Linked DNA regions of Drosophila melanogaster. The protein of the gene in region 1 purifies or fractionates together with the protein of each later gene. This does not show direct contact. Each region holds a gene or a part of one and is shown in the gene's direction. Other genes may lie near its edges.

Evidence for each region.
Region 2: the proteins of Idh3a (region 1) and Sec63 purify together in Drosophila melanogaster (affinity purification with mass spectrometry, with the first as the bait; one large-scale study listed by BioGRID). This does not show direct contact.
Region 3: the proteins of Idh3a (region 1) and CG3008 purify together in Drosophila melanogaster (affinity purification with mass spectrometry, with the first as the bait; one large-scale study listed by BioGRID). This does not show direct contact.

What each region holds. Positions count from the first base shown.
Region 1 is NC_004354.4:19,520,043-19,523,794, reverse strand, and holds the start of Idh3a (isocitrate dehydrogenase 3a), read left to right. Parts: upstream 1-1,990; 5' UTR 1,991-2,095; coding exon 2,096-2,122; intron 2,123-2,398; coding exon 2,399-2,467; intron 2,468-2,967; coding exon 2,968-3,135; intron 3,136-3,496; coding exon 3,497-3,752. Other genes in the region: CoRest, read right to left, coding at 1-80, 166-300, 361-408, 480-699. UniProt on the Drosophila melanogaster protein: Probable catalytic subunit of the enzyme which catalyzes the decarboxylation of isocitrate (ICT) into alpha-ketoglutarate.
Region 2 is NT_037436.4:7,358,745-7,362,496, forward strand, and holds the start of Sec63 (secretory 63), read left to right. Parts: upstream 1-1,816; 5' UTR 1,817-2,163; coding exon 2,164-2,287; intron 2,288-2,894; exon of another isoform or gene 2,895-2,999; coding exon 3,000-3,709; exon of another isoform or gene 3,710-3,752. Other genes in the region: pst (pastrel), read right to left, coding at 1-36, 107-645, 724-1,106, 1,177-1,280.
Region 3 is NT_033779.5:4,881,604-4,885,355, forward strand, and holds the start of CG3008 (uncharacterized protein), read left to right. Parts: upstream 1-1,694; 5' UTR 1,695-1,984; intron 1,985-2,042; 5' UTR 2,043-2,043; coding exon 2,044-2,736; intron 2,737-2,787; coding exon 2,788-3,752. Other genes in the region: Cf2 (chorion factor 2), read right to left, coding at 1-789.

The sequences.
Region 1 (3,752 bases):
TTTGTGCCAGAACAGCATGCCCAATGCCTGTTCGCCGTTGTAGCCGTACTTTTCCTTGGCCACCGAAATGTACTCCTCCACTGCAAGGTTACAATACGTGTCTTAGTATTCTATTCGCTGGCACAACCCAGAGATCAAATGGGCAAGTAAGCCACTAATACGTACATTTCAGATCAGGAATCTCCTTGGTGGGCGACCATACGAGGAGGGCGCGTTCGTTCATTTGTTCCGGGCGGCGCTCCGCTTCCGGAACGAGCGGCGGACAAACCGCCTGGTAGTCGCGTCCAACGCGGATTTTCTCTATGAAATGAAAATTTGTTTAAAGACCACATCGTGCGGAAAAAGACTACAGGTACTCACCTTCGTACTCAGACTGCTTGGCCTTGCTCTTGCCGTTCCGTTTGGTGGCTGGAAAAGGGAGACGGTACAGATAAGTGGGCTGAAGTGGCAGGAAGGTAATTCCGGGGCGTTTCACTTACAGTTGTCGTCGTCGGAGCTCTCCGGCGTGCCTGCACCTGGCACAGCTGTGGTGGTCTTCTCGTTCGCATTGGCGTTCCCGGAGTGGCCGCTGTTGTTGCCGCTGCCCACGAGGCTGGCGCTGTTGGTGACGCCGCCCGTGGTGTGCGTATTGGGACTGGGGCCGCGCGAACGGCGCCCGTTGCGCACCACATCCGTGGTGTTGCGCTCCGCCAACACCATCTTGTCCCGGATGAGCTGGGCGCGCTTGTTATGCTTCTCCAGGGTGCTAGTTTTGGCTAAACACGAGCACTAGCGAACACGAGCACTGCGGAGCTGCAAGAACAGTGGGGACATGTGTTAACGACTGATTCGGACACGGATGACAGCCGTACTCTGCTCTCCGGCTGAAAAATCCAGCAAATAGAAACTCTGCACCGCGTTTGGCGAGAGTGTGCGCTTGGCAAGAGGCACTTTTCCCGCAACGAGCGCAGAAGTGCGCTGTCAAACAGATACATTCATAAGTGTGCGTGCGTCCGTGTGAGCGTATGCGCGTGTATTGCGTGTGCTAGCGACGCGTGTATAGGTGTATGGGTGAGGGCCAAGCCAGCTGAGTTTGGAAACGGCAATGCATTTGGATTTGAATGCAGGAATCCGAATCTGGCTGGACGGAGGGACACGGAGGGACTCGGAGGACGCCTACCTGGTACTCTGGTGCCCCACAAGCACACAACCGAAGACGCTGCCACACGGATCTCACTGCACGTACCGTTTTCGCCCGCTTACGCAGTACGGCCTGCCGGACGCGGAGCTGGGGCTACTTGGAAAGGAGTACTCTTGGCCAGAAACTCCAGATACGGAACGCTGCGAACGGCTGGTCAGTGGAGTTGTTGCGCGCAGGTAACTGAAATCCAAACTGAAACGCGGAAAAAAAAACTCACTCGCGTACCGATTCTCTCTGGTCGTCCGTGGGCACAGCGCACTTTGTCGCCGACGACCGCAGTTCAGCTTTGTCTGTCGGTTGATCCGATTTTTTGCCCTCGCCTGGCTTCTCGACAGGCGGCCCCTTGGATTATCCTATCCCCGTTTTCGTTGGAGATCGAGAAACGGCTTCGCTTGCCCCTTTTTGATGGACACTCTCAGCACTTTTTCTAGAATATACGTCAGAAAACTGAGCGAATGCTCAAATTAATTTAAACTGTGGCTGTAGCAGCCACGGTTGCAAGGGATACACAAACTATCGATTAGGCCGCTCCGATATTTCGCTTTTGCCCTGTACAGGGATGCCACACGGCAGGCTGTACTGAATTTCGGGCAGACGACATCGATATTCGACATCTGTTTATTCACAGCCAACTTTAATGTGGTTTTACGCCATACATATGATGCTCGTACAGCAATTATGTGACTGATGCAAGCGAGAGCATACAAATACGGGGATATGGGTGATTTGTAATTCCACCCCCATCTGAGCGCAGTCCAGGTGGCAACGACGCTGCCCCCGCATGCCTATCGACCGATATACCGCAGATTCGCCAGTTTTCCGCAAGGTGGCGACTACGGCGGGCGCAGACTAAAAAGACAGACTTTTTTCTATATAATATACGGCAGGAATCAGTGCAAAAACCGATCCAACGCAATGGCTGCTAGATTCATACAGAAAATTGTAAGACCCGTTTAGGCTTAAGCGACTTGACCCGCCCCGCGTCGCGCCTCTTAACCCCACCATACAGCGACCAAACCAATTCTGCAGGACAGCAGTTGATTACGTGCTGGCCAAAAAGTACTGGCCAACTACCACTAACATTGCGATTTTGTTTCTCGTCCGACGCTCCTGCCCTCCAACTCCACGCCCGCTAACCAACCCTGCAAACCACCGATGCAATGATCTGCGATTCCGCGATTCCCAACGACAACAACACATTACGCAAAACACTTGCAGCTCAATCAACTGGGTTTGATTGCAGCGCGTGATGCTCCGGCGGTGACTGCGACGCCAGCAGTGAGCCAGGTTGGTTCCATAACAGCGGCGGCAGCGACGGAACCATCCGGGATCCGCAGTGGGGGCCACCACCTCCTTCGCCAGGACATCAGCTGTCCGTCCGGCGAAAACGAAAAGAGCACAGCATTAGAATTCGCATTCACTTTACATAACACTCTCTCTCTCGCTCCCTCGTTGCGTGGCCGAGATATCGATAACGGCGGGCAGGGCGGGTGGTTCGGACCCTCGAAAATCCCACCCCCTACTCGAGAGGCGGGAAAAAATCAGTTACCGAGATTGGGCCCTGATTTGCGGCCTTATCAGCGCCGTGGGAATCATTTGTGCACTCTAACCTCAACGCGACGAACTGTTTGGCACGGGGGGTAGGGCGGACGGGATTTTTGTTTGGCATGGGCACTTATGTAATCCCGCTAGATGCTGCTGCTGTTGCTGCTGCCCATCTATGCGTTTTCTCGCCACCATTTCTGTAGATCACTCTGTAACCCGCCTATGGTCTTGCTATTTTCCAGGTCAACGCGACTCCCGCCGCCAGCCGGTCCTACTCCTCCGGCACCAAGAAAGTCACCCTCATCCCTGGCGATGGCATCGGACCTGAGATCTCTGCGGCCGTGCAGAAAATCTTCACCGCCGCCAATGTCCCCATCGAGTGGGAGGCCGTGGACGTGACCCCCGTCCGGGTAAGTGTCGTAATCCCAGCCAGAGTTAGTGGTTCAACTTGACATTTCAAATCCAAGTTGAGCGCCATCGCCTTCGAAGCGCGTGGCCGTTTGACAACAGGTGGCAACTACGGTCGTCTGGGCGGTAAATTTGAAATACAACCAGGCTCTAGTTAACATTCCATTGCCATATATTCGATATAAATGCCAAATCAATGGATACGAATCCATGCAATATTTTCGCCAAATATTAATTTGCTCTGTTAAAAGCCAAAAAAAAAATGCATACATATGTCGGAGAAGACGACACATATATAAAACAATTTGCGAGCTAGCTTTATTTATTTACTTCTTATTTCATTTGTGCGTGACATGTTAACAGGGACCCGACGGAAAGTTCGGCATCCCACAGGCCGCCATTGACTCGGTGAACACGAACAAGATCGGCCTGAAGGGTCCTCTGATGACGCCCGTCGGCAAGGGCCATCGGTCTCTGAATCTGGCCCTGCGCAAGGAGTTCAATCTGTACGCCAACGTGCGTCCCTGCCGCAGTCTCGAGGGCTACAAGACGCTGTACGACGATGTGGACGTGGTCACCATCCGTGAGAACACCGAGGGCGAGTACTCCGGCATCGAGC
Region 2 (3,752 bases), on another chromosome or scaffold:
GGATATGTTCATGCTATTCACAGTCAGTTGGGTGATCTATGTGAGTACATATTTAACATTTTTATTCCATTGTTGATTGCGTGGGGGGGGGGGTTTAAGGACTCACCGCTCCCACCTCGCGTCCAGCATTTGTGGCCGTTGTCAAGACTGTGGTGGCCCCAGCCGCTGCCAATCCCACAGTGCCACCAGCCACGCCCAACCAGTGACCACGCGCTTCGCGGTCCGTCACATTGATAGACTGCTCATGTTGGCTGCGATCGAATAGCTTGCTGCCAGACCGCGATGCGGCGTATCCAGCACTGGCCAAACCTACTACTCCCGCTGCGCCCATCAGCGGAGCGGATACGGGCAGCGTTAGCAGGGCAGCAATGGGCACACAGGCAGCAAAAAATCCTCCGACTGCCGACCCAGTATCCAGGTAGCCCAGCACCTTCCTGTTGGTCGTGCCCGCCGGCGTTGTGTACTTATCCAGACGTACTTGATCCCTGACCAAGCGGTAAATACCCTTCTCTGGGGCCACCATCACTCCGGCAGGCAACTCGTTGGTGGTCACATACATCTCCCAGTTTTGGTAGACCCGACCAAGCTCGTCGATAAACAGATTGCAGCAATTCGAGCTGACGCTGCTGGTGCCACTACTGCCAACTGAGTATTAAATGGATCCATTGATAGATAGATAGGAAATATATTGTAAATTGCATACGTATGCAAAGGATGACTCACCGACGCATCGACGGGCCCGAAAGACTGGGTGCACGCTGAAGACTCTGGCGTCCTCGGCGCGATTGACGTCCGTTTCGTCAGTTACCACCATTACGTAAATGATCGCCGTCAGCGATTGACGGTTGGTATACTTTCCTGGAAAACAATTGTACGCAGTTAAGGCAGCGAAAAAATGTACTATACTATATACAATCTGTAAGTCCAACTCACGTTGCTGCCAAACGGAATCGAAAATGATCTGACGGGCGCGCTCATTATCTGCGTTGACCTTCAGCCGGATTTTTCTGTCTTTTTCAGTTTCCGTTGCAGTTTTCGGTTCCGGAGAATCACGAATCAATTGACAGAGTTTGCCCCTTAGCACGTCATGTTGTTCATGGGACAACCTGTAAGGGGTTACGTCATTACCCCAAATACTTTGAATTCAAAATTCTAATGCGCAGTAGCAGTACTTACAGATCCCAGATTATCTCTTCCGCGTAGCCGAGCGACTCGGCAAAGTTTTGCTGCACTTCACGTGCGGTGCGGGTAACTTCATGGTTTCCTAATCTATTCGCCATCCCTAAGTTGTCACCTTTCCGTTGCCACAGTTGTGCTGCTAATGGAGTTGTGCCACGGAATCACCAGCTTTTAAGTTAAGGCGCACACTAATTGAACGATCGTACTCGAAATACCGAAAAGGCAAGACGGCAGAAAAGCTCTCTAGGGATCATACCTTTATATGAATACCCCGTATTCCACCGTCACCTTCTTTGGTGAGCAAAATTTAAAAAGCTGCTAGCGTGCTAAACCCAAAATGTAACGAGACGATGAGCTCATGCTAATCAGATATTTGCTTTGTATTTCTAGCGAGCACATATTATATTATAAAAAAAAAAAATATATATATATATATATATAGGCAAATCCATTTAAAAATATACATTTACATTGAAAACTTGCTGACAAAAGTTTTGCTTGCAAACATTTTTAGTACTTGGTGACCTAAAAAATCAGATTCTAAACTTAGTACTGCCAGCTTTGGCAACCCTAAACTATGAATGCTGCCTCCCGCCTATCGATAGCCGTGCAATCGAACCGGCTCCGCTCCAGCTACGCCTATCGGTTCCAGCACGAGCCAAACAACCCTACGTGTCAGTCTCATGCGTCGGTGTAAATACAGAGTTTTTTAAGTTCGCGGCGTGCCAATCTCGCGATATCTTGCAGCAGCAGCAGCAACAACACCAGCTCCTGCCCCATTCGAATCTCGCAGATCGCCGCGTGTCGATCGAGAATCCACGGGGCGCAGCGATTGTAGCGATAACTCCAACGCGACAGCAACATCAGCTGGATCTGCCGGAGGAAAAGTGCAGGGGAAAGCGGCGGCAGAGAAAGGAACGGAACGGAACGGAGCCAAAAGGCAGTGCCAGACAAAATACAAAATACATATAGTCGCTGTCGGAGATGGCGGGTCAAAAGTTTCAGTATGATGAGAGCGGCGGAACGTTCTACTACTTTGTGTTATCGTTCTTGGCGCTAATATTGATACCGACCACCATTTACTATTGGCCACGTAAAAAGAAACAAGGTAAGTGCCGCTTGCCAGCCGATTTAAATCGCACTCTCTCCGCTCTTGTTTTTTAATTTTCCACCTGCAGCTGTGCGCGTGTGTATGTGTGTAAGTGAGTGCCAGTAAGGCGAAGGCATAGACATACATGTGATTACCACGCTCTCCTGCTCTAACCCTCCCGCCGCCACCAACAAACTAAATGGACACGTTCCAATAAGTTATTCTAACAACGTCAGCTCATCGTCTTCGTATGGGTGAAAGCTGCGCTGCGATTACCGCAAGTCGAGCTCTCTTCGTTTTCCAATTGGGACAGCGCACTCAACGCTCCACAAGCGTCCATGCGTCGCTAATATCGTGATAACTTACCTATCATCGTGATCGGTGGAGGAGGAGTGATTATGAGCAAGTTACCTTTGACTTATCGCGATCATGCTGTGCTTGTGCACTTTGCACACACGCTCACTGACCAATCGGCTGCTCTCTCACGATTTTCCTCTCGCGAGATTTTCATTTCTGTAGCGCTGGCATTCCCGGTAAAAAAAAAAATGCAATATGCGTAGACAGACCTCAACTAATTTTAATCGTAATCAGGTTAGCAGGTACCTGTAAAGATCGTTTTTTTTTTAAATCATTTTATTAGCCATCTTAAGTGAAAATGATAAATTTCAAATATTTTAAAATAGCCTATATAATCCCCGTACTGACCCAATTTTCGTACACATACTTGCAGATAACAGCAAACTTAAAGAGGAATGTCAGTGCGCCGACTGCCAGAAAAAGAAGACCATCTTGGCCAATGCCGAGCCGTACAGAGCTCTCACGTCATGGACCATCAAGCTGACCATAGTGCTGGGGTGGGCCCTACTGCTCTTCCTCACGTACCGCGTCTCGCAGTTCGACTACGAGATGGCCAGCTTCGATCCCTTCGAGATCCTGAATGTGCCGCCGACGTCGTCGCAGGCCGAGATCAAGAAGGCCTACTACCGGCTGTCCAAGGTGCTCCATCCCGACAAGGAGACGGGTGACGAGAAGTCCTTCATGATGCTGAGCAAAGCGTACCAGGCGCTGACCGACGATGTGGCAAAGGAGAACTACGAGAAGTATGGTAATCCGGATGGACCGGGTGCCATGTCCTTTGGCATCGCCCTGCCCTCGTGGATTGTGGAGAAGGAGAATAGCGTTTGGGTTTTGGGTCTGTACGGCCTGGTCTTCATGGTGGCCATGCCCTCGGCAGTGGGTGTTTGGTGGTACCGCTCCATCCGCTTCAGTGGCGACAAAGTGCTGCTCGATACCACTCAGATGTACTTTTACTTCATCCACAAGACACCGCACATGCTGCTCAAGCGGGCACTTATGGTTCTGGCAGCCAGTTTGGAGTTTGACAAGCGACACAACTCGCAGGTCCAGGAGCGGCAGTCGGACAATGACGAGGTGCCGGCGGTGAGTGCATTTTATTGGAATTTCCATTCGTTGTTCGCTCACT
Region 3 (3,752 bases), on another chromosome or scaffold:
CTGCATTTCACGCTGCTGCTGCTCCAGCAGTTCCTGCTGCTGCTGCTGCTGCTGTTGTTGTTGTTGGTGCTGTTGCTGATGGTGGTGCTCCGCCTGCAGTTGCTGCTGATGGTGCTGCTCCTCGGGCGTCAGTCTCATATCACGGGGCGCCATTGCCGGCAGCTGATCGTCGGGCGTCACCGCCGCCTCCTGCTGTTCCATAAAGCCCTGCTGTCCGGCAGCCAGCATGGCGGTGGTGCAAATGGAGCCGCACTGCGTGCATTTGTACTCGTTGGGCTGCTGGGTGGCCGAGTGGATGCCATAGATGCTGCACATAAGGCAGCGGGACAGGAAGGCGGGCGTCTGATGGGCCAGCCGATGGTGTTCGTCTAAATCGACGGCGTTGCCAAACTTTTCATCACAATTGAAGCAGGGGTGGCTGAGCTTGGGGTGCTGCTGTGCCTGCGGATGACCGCCGTCCAGCGTGGCAATGGCTCCCTGGGCGTTCAGCGTGATCCCGTGGCACAGCTGCATGTGATCCGCGACGTGCTGCGGTCGCTCAAACTGCTGGTGACACATGGGACAATAGTGCGGCGACACGTGCACATTGGGGTCCATGCTGAGATTGGGCAGAAAGGCTGTCTTCAGGGTGTCCATGTTGGCTATCACGGTGGCCACTTGGTGCGTGGGCGTGGCTGGGGCGGCGGTGGAGGTGGTGGCTGAGGAGGGGGGCGGCGGCGGCGGCGCTGGCGACTGATCCTCGGGGCGTGGCAGACGCTGTTCCTGTGGATTCGTGGTGGACTTTATCATTTCACTTCCGCTGGCGCTTGGAGAGTAATCGCTTCTTTTGGTTTGACTTGGTTAGTGGGCAGGAGCAGGAGCAATTGGCGGTTAAAGAAGGCGATATGCGCTGCAGGAGTAATAAAAATCATAATTACAGGCGGCCACAAGCGAATGTATGTGCAAGCGTGTGGGTGTGTGCTGGTGTGTATGTGTGTGTGTGTTCTTTGAGTCTGGCAGTCGCAAATTAGCAGGAACGAATTCGGAAATCACAAATTCACGAAATCTTCAGTCCCGATCTTCTGCATTTGACCCCCAATGTCCCCCCACAGCGGCTGGCGAAGAAGAGGAAGAAGGAGGAGGAGATGAAGAAGAAGAGGAGCGGGCAGCAGCAGCGGCAATGCGTTCGAATTGAAAATTTTTTTCAGTCTGTCATATTCTAAATTCGGAATTCTATTTTGATTGCTTTTTCGGTCTCTCGTTTTGTTTCCATCTTTCTTACCAGCGCACTGAATATTTACTGCACCTTGTTGTTGCTGGCGGCCGTTCGATTTTGTTGTATTTGGAGCGGGGGTCACGAAAATGCTGGGGCGGCCAATCAGTTTAATAACATTTTCTCCTTTGTACAACAAATAAACGTATATTAACAAAAAAAATTTTTCACTTTTATTATTATTTTTGGCGAAAAATGTACAACTACAACAAAAAGTATCGATTACTGGCATCGAAACTACGATGGCAACGTCGCTCTAGAACTGACGATGTGGCAACGCCCTTGCTAACGATATATTTTTCTGCCTTTTCCTAAAATATGACAAATAAAACGTTTTCTAAGTATGCAAATTAAAGTATAATATAACTTTAACTTAACGTTATAAAAATTGTAAGCAAAGCTTTCGATATTAGGAGTTCTTCTATTTCCAAATTTATCGGGTCTATCGTTCTGCGATAGCTCGATACTTTCATAAGCTGATAATTTCACAACAATTGGAAAAAGGATTGTTTGGAGAAATACAATAGAAATATTATTGCAACAAGGGTTGCAATTGGCTTCCCCTTATATTGGTCATCTATAGTGCCAAAACTGTCACTTGTCCTCCACCGCGGACATATCAGAGTCCACCTGCAACCCGCCGTTGGTCAGGATTTGGACAGAGGCTTGTTTGTAAACTGCCACAATTACCACCGATATAGAACTCGATCTTCTCAAGCCAAGTTCCAATAGGTTTGTGGAATCACAGCACCAAATTGTGATCTATATTGACTCTCTTTCGATTGTGCAGAATGTCGTCGCCATGGGTTAAGACCAGCGAGCCTGTGCAGCAGGTGAATCTGGCGGATATAATGTCGGAGCAATATGCCCACAAGTTGCACGACAAGGAGCTGCAGCGCCACACGGAGAAGCTGAAAAGACCGGACGAACAGATAGCACCCGTTTGGGGGTCGCAAGCCTCATCCCCGCCAGCGCCCAATGCGCAGAGTATCCAAAGTGATGCGGAGGATTGGGAGGATTACTCTGCGCTCCTCAATGACGAAGGAAACGTAGCGGAGGACATTCAGCTGCCGGAAGACAGCGATGCAGTTATTGCCCAGCTGTTGCAGTCCCAGTTCGATCACGAGTACAATGAGGAATTGCGTCGTATCGAGCGGCAGCAAAACAAGCAATCCAAGGTCACTGTTACCCTCAATAAGTTCCTACGTGATGGCGATGCAGAGTTCTTGCACGACACCGCGGAAGATGACTACGAAGAGGATGAATTGGAGCAACAGAAGCACGACTGGGATCGGTTCGAGGACAATGAACGGCAGCTTGACTCCATACCTCGCTGCGGCTTTAAAGTTAACAAGGAGGGCGAGATGATAACAAAGCACGATCCGCAGCTGTGCGCCGTGCGTAATGCCCAGCGCGTGATGTCCTTTCCGCCGGAGTTTCCCACCGGTGATGCTGCCGGTTTCGACATGAAGCTCTCCAATAAGGTTAGAAGCGGTCAGTTTTAAGCGATAATAAGACTTAAACGTACCTTTCAGGTGTTTAACCAACTACGAGCCCATTCTCGACGAGGCCGCTCCGACAAGCACGAGAAAGTGGCCACCGCGGAGATGGGATTGGATGCGGGTACACGTTTGCTGCTGTACAAGCTGATCAATAACCAAATACTGGAGCAGATCAACGGCATTATATCCACGGGCAAGGAGGCGGTCATCTTGCACGCCAATTCCGATGCGAACTATACGGGCAGCAACGAGCATGGTCACCAGAGTGGTGTGCTCGTTCCACCGCAGCTTTTGCCCCGGGAGTGTGCCATTAAAATCTTTAAAACCACGCTCAACGAGTTCAAGCAGCGCGATAGATACATCAAGGATGACTATCGGTTCAAGGATCGCTTTAGCAAACAAAACCACCGAGTGATTATCAATATGTGGGCCGAGAAGGAGATGCATAATCTGATGAGGATGCAAGCCATTGGCCTAAACGTTCCAGACGTTGTTGTGCTGAAGAAGCACGTGCTGGTAATGCGGTTCATCGGTGACAATCATAACGCTGCGCCCAAGTTAAAGGATGCCCGTCTGAGCGACGCGGAGCTGAGTTGCGCCTACGAAGAGATTGTGGCCGCGATGCACAAGTTGTACAATGAGGCGAAGCTGGTGCACGCCGATATGAGCGAATATAACATACTCTGGTTCGAGGGCAAGTGCTGGTTTATTGACGTGGCCCAGAGTGTCGAACCGAAGCATCCCAGTGCCCTGGAGTTCCTGATGAGGGATTGCGGCAACATTGTTAACTTCTTTGAACGACGCGGCCTGCCCAACATTTACACCAAGGAGCAGTTGTTCGAGTTTATTACGGGTCTCAATTCAGAGGTCCACACCGCCGCTCAGCTGGAGCAGATCCACACGCGTGGCGCTTCCATTAGCCAAGCCACTGCTCCGAATCAGGAGGAGTGCCCCGACGAACTGAAACCCTTGGAGTATCCCTTTGAGCTGGCCTGGGA